3 linked regions of the Canis lupus familiaris genome follow. The protein of the gene in region 1 purifies or fractionates together with the protein of each later gene. This does not show direct contact. Links are inferred from orthologs where the notes say so. Each region holds a gene or a part of one and is shown in the gene's direction. Other genes may lie near its edges.

What was found. The genes of interacting proteins can lie anywhere in the genome.
Region 2: the proteins of GOLGA7 (region 1) and CLDND1 purify together in Homo sapiens (affinity purification with mass spectrometry; 3 studies listed by BioGRID and IntAct, counting the BioPlex papers as one, with this or other methods). This does not show direct contact. The link is inferred for Canis lupus familiaris from reciprocal best matches to the Homo sapiens genes GOLGA7 and CLDND1.
Region 3: the proteins of GOLGA7 (region 1) and ZDHHC5 purify together in Homo sapiens (co-immunoprecipitation; 3 studies listed by BioGRID and IntAct, with this or other methods). This does not show direct contact. The link is inferred for Canis lupus familiaris from reciprocal best matches to the Homo sapiens genes GOLGA7 and ZDHHC5.

Annotation. Positions count from the first base shown.
Region 1 is NC_049237.1:24,832,495-24,836,702, reverse strand, and holds the start of GOLGA7 (golgin subfamily A member 7), read left to right. Parts: upstream 1-1,408; 5' UTR 1,409-1,504; exon of another isoform or gene 1,505-1,641; intron 1,642-1,773; 5' UTR 1,774-1,794; coding exon 1,795-1,905; intron 1,906-4,208. UniProt on the Homo sapiens protein: May be involved in protein transport from Golgi to cell surface. The ZDHHC9-GOLGA7 complex is a palmitoyltransferase specific for HRAS and NRAS.
Region 2 is NC_049254.1:5,736,087-5,738,700, reverse strand, and holds the end of CLDND1 (claudin domain-containing protein 1), read left to right. Parts: intron 1-395; coding exon 396-533; intron 534-673; coding exon 674-894; 3' UTR 895-2,110; downstream 2,111-2,614. UniProt on the Homo sapiens protein: Plays a role in negatively regulating the permeability of cells to small molecules.
Region 3 is NC_049239.1:38,976,604-38,980,121, reverse strand, and holds part of ZDHHC5 (palmitoyltransferase ZDHHC5), read left to right. Parts: intron 1-2,692; coding exon 2,693-2,814; intron 2,815-3,518. UniProt on the Homo sapiens protein: Palmitoyltransferase that catalyzes the addition of palmitate onto various protein substrates such as CTNND2, CD36, GSDMD, NLRP3, NOD1, NOD2, STAT3 and S1PR1 thus plays a role in various biological processes including cell adhesion, inflammation, fatty acid uptake, bacterial sensing or cardiac functions.

The DNA of each region.
Region 1 (4,208 bases):
ATAGGAATGGCAAATAAGTATATGAAAAGATGTTCTAATTTTCTAGTCATAGAAAAATAAAATTTATAACCACAAATAAGATACCTCTATACAAGTGTTGGCAAAGATGTGGAGCATCCCTCATATGCTACTGGTGGGAACGTAAAATGGTACAACCACTTTGGGAAACAGTTTGGCAGTTTCCTAAAAAGTTAAACACTAGATATTTACCCGAGAGAAATGAAATCATATGTCCATACAAAGACTTGTAGATGAATGTCCGATAGCAGTTTAATCTGTAATAGCCCCAAACTGGAAAGCAGTCCTAAATCTGTCCACAGAATAAACGAATGACAGGATACTCAATTCAATGGAATACTACCCAGCAACAAAAATGAATGAATTCTTGATAAAACAACAACAGATGAATCTCAAATGATGCCTATGTGAAAGAAGCCAAACAAACAAGCAAGAAGTACACACTGTGATTCATTTTATATAACATTCAAAGAAGTACAAACTAACATATAATAGCAGAAAGCAGGTCAGCGCCTGGAGAAAAGGAGCTGGGTAAGGGCAGGAGAGAGGGATTACAGAGGAGCTTGTAGGACATGCTGAGGATGATCAATGTTCACAGTCTTGATTGAGAGGATTTCATGGTTGCACACGTATGTCAGAACTTATTACACTGTTCAGTTCAAGTATGCTCCGCTCATTGTATGCTGTTTATATTTCCATAAAACTTTTTAAAATACAGTAAGAGAAAATTTTTAAGATATATAAAAGGCAGGGTAAGGCATCGGTGCCAACAGGCTGTATCAGGCAGGCTCCAGCAGCTGAGGGCAAGGCGGAGTTCCTTTGGCTGCTCTGCAAAAGTGTGTGCTGAGTCAGGTGGAGCCCCAGAGGTCACGGAGGGGAACCTGTCCTCCCAGCCGCCCGAGGGATGTACAGACTGGGCGCTGGATGGACATCTCTGCGGGAGGAGGAACGGTGACCCCGCAGAGACCTGAGGACGGATGCTCGGTAATAAAGCCCAAGCAGGGTCTCCGTCCCCTCCTTCTCCCGCCCCCTTGCCAAGAGGATCCCCAGGCGTCTGCTTTCTGCTTCCAATTTTGTGTGAGCAGTTCGTTTTGTCCCGAGTCGGGCGGCACCCACAGGTAAGCCAGGACGTCAAAAACTACGTCGATCACTAGGGAAATGACACGACACGGATATGACACAACAGGGAAATCCCGAGTATTGGACCGGGGCAAACGAGGGGAGCGTGCAGCAGCCGTAGCTTCCCGGGCCTCGCCCCGCCCCGGCCCGGCCAGGCCCGGCCTCTTCCTTCCGTATTGACGCCCCCGGGCGGGGCGGGGCGGGGCGGGGCGAGGGGCGGGGTCGGCCCGGACCCCGCCCACTGCGCCTCCTCACCGCAGCGCGCAGCCTCACCAGGGTCGCTTTACGGCCGGGGCGAAAGTGAGTCCTCTCCTTGCGATAGAGGCTGAGCGGAGGGGCGGGGAAACAAGCTCTTTTGCGGCAGGACGTAAGTGGCGCTGTGGGCGGTGCGACTGCAGCTGGAGGGCAGAGGAGGCGGGTTCGTGTTTCCCGGGCCGAACCGGGCTGCGGGGGGTGCGGGGCCTGGCCCCGGGCTATAGCTCAAGTCCCGCGGGGCCAGTATGGGTGAGGGGGAGTGGGGCGGGGCACGCCTCGCGCCACCTGGGCCCGTGGGGAGGGGCTGGGGGGCGGGCGGGCCGGAGTCTCGGGTCCAGGCCGGGGATCTGACCCGAGGCTGTTGTCCCCCCAAACCCGCAGCGCGCCGGTCCTGTCCTCGCCATGAGGCCGCAGCAGGCGCCGGTGTCCGGGAAGGTGTTCATTCAGCGAGACTACAGCAGCGGCACACGGTGCCAGTTCCAGACCAAGTTCCCCGCGGAGCTGGAGAACCGGGTACGCACCCTGTCCCCGCACCTGCTCTGGGGCGATGGGGGCGGGCCTCCTCAGGGCAGACACCGGGCCCGCGGTGTGCCTGGCGGCGAGGGGAGGGGAGGCGAGGCCCGGACGCGGCGTTTGGAGGAGGACGAATAAGACCGACCCCCGGGTGTGGTGACCTTACAGAACTCTGTGGTGCCGAACCAACCAGCCGCCTTCTTCCCCCCGCGCCTCCGCCCCGCCCCACCCCCACCCCCACCCCGGGTTATTGACAACAGTGATGAGGAACTAATTCCTGAGGTTCCAGCCACCTAGCTCAGCACGTTGTAAACTATATCCTCCCACCTCGCCAGGAGAGTAATCATCATCGTTCTCGTGATTGGGGTTCCTGGCCATGGTGCTGGTCGCCCTGCTCGGCAGAAGGGGTTTATTAAATTGCTGTACCAGGCAGTACGGACAGGCCTGCTGGGAACCTGAGCAACGTGGAGCATTAGATCGGCCTGGACAGGGAAGGATCTCAGAACAAGGCCTGACACTTGCAATTCCCGGTTATGATCCCCGGGAGCCACCTGTGTTTTGTTGGCTTGCATATCAGAATTGGCGTCAGGATATAGGTCCCATAGGCAGCCCTGCACCTAGAAATGGAAGATGGAGCTGTGTTTCCTCTTTCTTCAGACTCGGGGAGAAATTCTTTGTATTTTATTTTAAAAATACAACGAAGTGAGCATGTGTGAGTTTGTTTTCTCTTGTATCTGAATGTGCTCACCCACCCAAAGAAAGAGCTTTTGGTCTTGAGCCATGTTACCTTGCATTCTGTTTTCTTTTTAGAGATCAGTTTCTGGTTAAAGGGGAGCAGGTTTTCTGCTCTTTTCTGCTTGATGGGGAGGGTGAGGGACTGAGGTGATTAGGTGTGTTGTGGGTGTGGGAGTAAGAAATACTGGTCATGGGATAAGTGGGTATAGAGGAGTCTGTACAAGAGAAATGTGTAGCAGTCCTTTAAAATCAGCTTGTAACAGGTAGATTGCTCTACCTGAATGCCAAGTTTGGAAAATCAATGTGTATCAATCCTAGTGTCCTTCGACTTAATTTATAATTGTGGTCAGGTTAGTGACCCAAGTATGTTTCTTTAAGTGCAAATGAAAGATCAGGTATGCTTTACAGGGATGGTGTGTGGATGAGCTTGTCTGTGAGATGCTGTATTAAATGCTGCACTTTGCCGTCTAGATGTTGAGTTAACTCAGCTTGACACTGGGTGGACATTTCCATCATGGTTTCAAGAGATAGAAATTGAGCAAGTTGCCTGTTGTCTACCGCTACTGAACGTTATTTTTAAAATAACTTAACATCCTAGTTAACATGTTTTACGTGTTAGGACTTGTATGAAATGGATCAAATGTTTTATTTGTAAGCCTGTTATGGAAACTCTGACTTATACTATTTATGTACTTTCAAATCAGAGTGTAAACTCTTCTTTCTACCACACTTACTTGGATGTTATAAGATTCCTTTGTTTTTTTTTTGTTTGTTTTTTTTGTTTTGTTTTGTTTTGTTTTATGATAGTCACAGAGAGAGAGAGAGAGAGAGGCAGAGACATAGGCAGAGGGAGAAGAAGGCTCCATGCACCGGGAGCCCAATGTGGGATTCGATCCCGGGTCTCCAAGATCACTCCCTGGGCCAAAGGCAGGCGCCAAACCGCTGCACCACCCAGGATCCCGATTCCTTTGTTTAAAGGTTTTATTTATTGTTTGTTTGTTCGTTTGTTTAAAGGTTTTAAAGTCAAACTTCCAACTCATAACTGAGCCAAATATATATATGCAGATATGCAGGACCAGACATTAGCCTTCTACTCCATGTGTGGTAGAGCCTTTACTTTATAGTCTGGATTCTGAGAATCTCCACGGATTCTTACAGGAAATTGATGTTTCTAAATTCTGGAGTCCTTTTACTTCTTTGACTTCAGATTATAGCCTAGAACTGCTAGGCTATAATGTGACTCTGAGTACTAACTATAGGGAGTGTTACTTGGTGCTATTCAATTGTGTCTTTGAGGGTGTTTTTTTTTTTTTTTTTCTTCCTTTTTTTTTTTTTTCAGTGTTTGGGTTAAAACACTAGTTTATGCTTTAAACTGCTTGGGAGAGCTTTGATTTTTCTTTTAATGTATTGAAATCAAATTTAAATTACAGGTTTAAATTTTCCTTGCTTTGTTTGATGGAAAATTAAAAGGTTTCTGTCTTTGTTTCTATACTACTTACCCTAGAAATTGTACTGATTGCTCTGCCACTGGGCTGATTTTCCTCTGGGGAGAACATCACACTTGGTAA
Region 2 (2,614 bases), on another chromosome or scaffold:
GAGCAAGGAGCCCAGCTCGGTGCTGAGGTCACCACCTGCCTCAGAAAGCAAGAGTGGGGGATCCCTGGGTGGCGCAGCGGTTTGGCGCCTGCCTTTGGCCCAGGGCGCGATCCTGGAGACCGGGGATTGAATCCCATGTCGGGCTCCCGGTGCATGGAGCCTGCTTCTCCCTCTGCCTGTGTCTCTGCCTCTCTCTCTCTCTGACTATCATAAATAAATAAAAAATTAAAAAAAAAAAAAAAAGGCAAGAGTGGGGTGCTTGACAGCGCCATCCAAGGGGCCCCTCCTTTTTCACTTTTTGAGAAAAGATCTAATTAGTATATAAAAGAAATTGTCATTGTGAAAAACTGTCTGAAATTGAGGTAACATTTCTTTTTTGTCTTTTTCAAAATTAGATCTTTGGCGTTGCCAGTTCCTTTTACCGTTCGTTAGTCTCGGTTTGATGTGCTTCGGGGCTGTGATTGGATTTTGTGCTTGCATCTGCCGAAGTTTGTATCCCACCATTGCCACGGGCATTCTCCATCTCCTTGCAGGTGAGGCTTGTCAGTATACTTACCTCTTCCTCCTCCATAGAGACAGAGGGATCGTAATCCTTAAACACACGCAGTGTTGCCGTGCTGCCTGAAAAACTCTCACGATGCCCTTACCTAGTTATGTTTTGTTCTCCCCCGAGGTCTGTGTACCCTGGGCTCCGTGAGTTGTTATGTTGCTGGAATTGAGCTACTACACCAGAAGCTAGAGCTGCCTGAGAATGTGTCTGGTGAATTTGGATGGTCCTTCTGCCTGGCGTGTGTTTCAGCTCCCTTACAGTTCATGGCTTCCGCTCTCTTCATCTGGGCTGCCCATACCAACCGGAAAGAGTACACCTTAATGAAGGCATATCGTGTGGCATGAGGGGGAAGCTGCCTGAATTGCAATTGCCATTTTTATTATTTTTCAATATTGATATTTTTTCCTTATCTCCCTTTTCCCATTGTTTTTAATTAAAAAAAAATTTTTTTGTGGATCTACCATTTTATCCTGAAAATCCATTCTATTTATTCACACAGTTGTTTCTTAATACCACTAAAACTTATAAGCATTATTCTGAATGATTCCATCTTTTGCACAAACTAATCTAGGTTCAGAGTCCAGACAGCCAGAAATGGGTAGACACTTGGGACAAATTTGTGAAAGAAAATTGATAGGGGAAAATTGGCCCCAAGACTTCTGCTGATGTCAGTTAGACTTTTCAGTAAATAACTATCTGTTCAACTAGAAACTCTTTAGTGTCTCTGAGAAACTCATTTTGTCAAGACTTAGGGTCACTTTGCTGTTGTAGATAGCCAGTCAGCCAGAACATTAGTGCTATATTCAAAGACTTAAGCTATATAAAATAAGGAAACTATCTGAGATCCTTTCCCCCAAATACTGGCATAAAGTTTTATTCAAGGTGAAATACGGCAGCTGTTTATCTATACTGTGTCTGTCTGCAAGAAAGGAAGTGAAAAATACAGTGTTTACTTGAAATTTTAACTTTGTAACTGCAAGAATTCCAATTCAGCCAGACAAGAGGATTAACCTTATTTTACTTTTTTTTAATTTTTTTTTTTAACTCTCCTTAATATGTCAGTAGGATTTTCAGTACAACCAAACCATTTTGGATTTTTGCTCCTTGCCTCCTCACACATCAGGCTCATTAAGAGTGCTTTCTTTGTAACACTACTTTGGGGTCACAGAGTAAAATTTTCCAACCGCTGTCTATTTATTCCAGCTCAATACCATGAAGAAGGTTCAACCATAATGACCCTCCGGAGCTAGGAAAACTACCACAAGACCTAAAGCTTTGGCTGGTCATTAACTTCCAACTATGGTCTTTATTTCTTGTGGTGAAATGATGTGCCTTTCCTTGCCTAAATCCCTTCCTGGTGTGTATCAACATTATTTAACATCTTCTAATTCAGTCATTTTTTTTTATAAACATGTCTATAAACATTGAACTTTAAAAAATCTTATTCCATTACTGTAGCACTTGACAGATTTTAAAAAAAATGTAACTTAGTAATTTCTTACAAATATCCTGAATCTGTCTTTTTTATAAAAATAAAATAAAAAATGAGAAGAAACTCAATTGTGTATACTTTCTGAGTTGATTTAAATCTCAATGTTTTAGGATAAAGAAGTACAGGATTCTGAACGATATCTCTGGTTCTCTGGAAAATGCTTTGTTGCTGAGGTCTCTGTTTTATCTTCCAAAAAATAAGGGAAGCTCTTGCCTCCATTAGAAAACGAGGCTCTTTATCCCTTTAAGATTTCAGAGTTTAAAAACATGTTTTCACAGTAGTTTGTGATCTCTAAGTATCATATTTAACGTGGCTAGATTTTTTTTTTTATAAGGTCCTGTAATGGCTGTGGATGTTTGTGTTGTACAGAGATAATCAGGTCCGCTTCTGACTTACAACAAAGCCAGTACAGCCGATTATTGCCTCTGCAGTTGCTGGTTACTCCCTCTTCTCTCTCTTCCTCCCTCCTGAGGTTTGCATTGTCTTTCAGCACCTTTGGTGGAAGGTAGAAAAGCTAAGTAAACATACAAAATGCTTGGGCGTGGGGTTTTAAAATTCTTGACCAAGGTGGC
Region 3 (3,518 bases), on another chromosome or scaffold:
GATGTGGCAGGAACAGACTCTGCTCCTTCACGTCTCTCCTTGGTGGGGTGTTCCCTTAGCTAGTATGAAGTCTATAAGTAGTGGGTCCTAGATTTCAGTCAAGGGGCAGATGCTGCCTGGGATATGGAATTGTTTGCATCATTTCTATTTTTTTTAAGATTTTATTTATTCATGAGAGACAGAGAGGCAGAGACATAGGCAGAGGGAGAAGCAGGTTCCCTGCAGGGAGCCCGATGCGAGACTCATTCCCAGGACCCCAGGATCACTACCTGAGTCAAAGGCAGACTCTCAACCACTGAGCCAACCAGGTGCCCCATTTGTATCATTTCTAGATGCTGCTACTGTGAGGGTAGCTTTGTTTTGACAACAGATTCTAGAACTGGATTGTAGGATTACAGACTTCAGCTGGGATGAGTCGATACCAAGAAGGTTATAGGAGTGGGGCTCCTGGCTCACTCAGTTGGTGAAACATGCAACTTTTGATCTCAGGGTCGAGCATTCAAGCCCCATGGTGGGTGTAGAGATTACTTTAAAATCTCGGGGTGGGGGAGATTGCAGGGGTGACGTTCATTATACAGGGATGGGTGGGTGGCAGCCTACCCAAGAAGTTGGGTGATTTTCTTCATTTGGAAATGCAGAAACTGAAGGAAAAAATGGGGTCAGAAAGACTGCCATCTGGGCCTGTAAGGGGCTGACATCTCATTCTCTCATCTTAGTTCCCCTCAGGGATCGAGGAACCTTTAGTGTGTCAGAAGCTCAAGAGGCCATGGTAGCTACAGTTGTCGTCAGTTCTAGGAATGAGGTTTTTAAATCATGGGCATCTCAGTGTTCTAAGGATTTAATTTCTTTTTCCCTTCTAATTATCTTCCCAGGCTGTAGGAGTCAAGTGAGTCACCCTTTCTCCTCTTCCCCTGGCGGAAATCGAAGCGACAGCTAAGTGCTAGGGAGGGGCTCTGACCTGGATGACTGGTTTTCAGTTTCTGTCCCTCCCTCCTAAGGAGCCTGGGAGGTCAGCCTCTGGGTGGGGCTGTATGAGGACTCTTCTTGCTTGTATTCTACCCCAAACCCTGCCAGAGTATGGGAACATCTTTTCTGAAGCAGATAACCCCCAGAGGCAGAGGCTTCTTTGGGAGGCGTGGATAGCGTAAAACTAGACCTGGGACTGAGGGTCTGTTTTCCTTTGAAATCAGTGCCTACCTCGCTTCATTATTTTGTTTCCAATTACGTACTCACCTACCAAGGGAAGCAAAGAGTTAATTGATATTTACTATCTAAAAAGCCTGTGCAATAAATATTTACTTACTTTTTTTTTTTTTAATGAGTGGCTAAATAGAATTTGAATAAATAGATGGAGGTGGTAAAGACTCGTGAGATGCTTTATGACGGTCAGTCTTGTCTCTTATTAGTTTATATCTGATTAAGGAGCTCAATTCCTGTGAATTGTCCTGAATCACTTGTTCAGGGCTGTGCTTTTTGTTTTGATGGAGACAGATCTCTCTGAACAGAATCCAGGACTACTGTGGATTCATTTTCCAGACTCATTTGTTGTGTTATTCTCCTGGCCACTTCTTTCTTTCTTTCAATGAACTCTTCCTTTACTACTGGCTGGTTTAGATAAAGGGGACAAGGACAGATGCTGTCCTCATTCTGGAGATTAAGTTCTCAGCCACAAAGCAGATTAGGGCATTTAGCCACTGTCTTGTAAGAGGAAGTTCTTCGTGAGCTGAGATAGGAGAACGGGCATTTGATAGTACTGACAAAGTGATCAGCACGTCAGGTGTTTTGAAACTTCCAGCTCCCAGGAAATCAGAAAGAAAAGAGTTCTTATAGCATTCCTACTTAGACTTATAACCTGAGAGAAACTGAGCTTAATCCTCGACTAGAACACCCCCTGCTTTTTTTGGGGGGGGGTGTCAAAGAAAAGTTACCTAAAGCATATCTCTTGATTTGGACCCTGTGGAATATTGAATATGTTTGGCCAGTTTCTTTTTTCCTGTAGGATTTAGGGCTGATTTGATTTGCTCCCTCCTATTTTCCTCTCTGCTACTTGTCTGCCTCATTTATAGACCTCAAGAGATCTAGTTCTGTGTCTTGATATTCCTACATATCAGTGTGTGGGCCCCCTGTCCGCCTTGAGAACCAGCTTTTTGTTGAATAAAAACTCCCAGGAATATCTGATGCAGTGAATAAATTTTAGGCAGTGGAGAGTGGTTGAAAGCCAGCTGGAAAGAGGGAAGGGGAGCCAGAGAGGCAGGTGGTATCCCGTGCTCTGCGCCAGTGTACAGGTCAGTGGGGCATGGCCGAGATCCAGCAGCCTTGGGCTGCGCAAGAGAGGGGAATGTAGCTGGCGTCAATTACACACTCAGTCCCTAGCTCTTATGCCTGGCTAAAAAGAGATAAGGACAGATTCTAAAATGTGGAAAGAGCCACAGGGGAAGAATGAATCTGAAGAACACAGACCTCAGTAAAAGGGGTTATGGTAGGAGAGATTCTGAATTTCGTACCTTGATCTAAAATGAGCATTTCTGTGGGGAAACTAGACCCAATTGTTGGGAAGGATGAAGATCATTTGAGACAGCAGAGATGAAATACACGTAATTTATAGGTATGGGGACTGAAACTTTCAGATTTTTATATGGTCGGTGTCCCAAATGTTAGGGGCAGCCCCTCATTTTCTTTGTTATCTGTGCAGCTGTCCAGGACTAAGCCTCTGTGTGTCACCTGCAGTGCCCATCTACAATGCGATTGTTTTTCTCTTTGTGCTGGCCAACTTCAGCATGGCCACCTTCATGGACCCAGGGATTTTCCCTCGAGGTAAGAGCTCCCTCTCCTCTCTTGGAAACTCCTCAACTACCTTTCAAATATAATGGTTTTTGGACATGTGCATTTAATCCTGGGCCTTAGGACTCTGGGGGTTGTGGGATATGTCTGTAGTCTCATGATGAAAAGCTGGTCAGAGTCCTCCAGAATAGGTGTCATAACTTCTAGTCCTCTTAATTCACTTTGGGTCAAGTTTTTGATTTTCAGTTGCTCATTGAGCAGAGATTCATTTTGAGCATATGGGTCGGGCAATGATAATCTAAGATGAATTAGACAGTTATAATAGTGTGGTGTGAACTGTAGTGGAGGCATGAATGAGGTTCTGTGAGACCATATAAAAGGGTGCACTTATATCTGCCCCCATTAAATTGGGGAAATGCTGCAAGGAGGACACAGGAAAGACTTCGAGTGGAGGATGGTAGGGAAGCACATTCTAGGCCGAGGAAGCAGTACATGCCACTAGTGCTGAGCTCAGTGGGGTGGAAGATAAAAGCTCATGGTCGGGCCAGAAGGAGTAGGAGGTAAACAGCCAAATTGTGGAAGACTTTATGTACTAAATTAAATAGATTACATTTCTTCCTTTGGACAGCAAGAGATCTTTAACTGGAGGAATCACAGGATCAGATTTCCTTTACAAAAATCATTCTTGTAAGAATGCACAGATACCTTTTGGGAGGCGATTGCAATAATGTAAACCA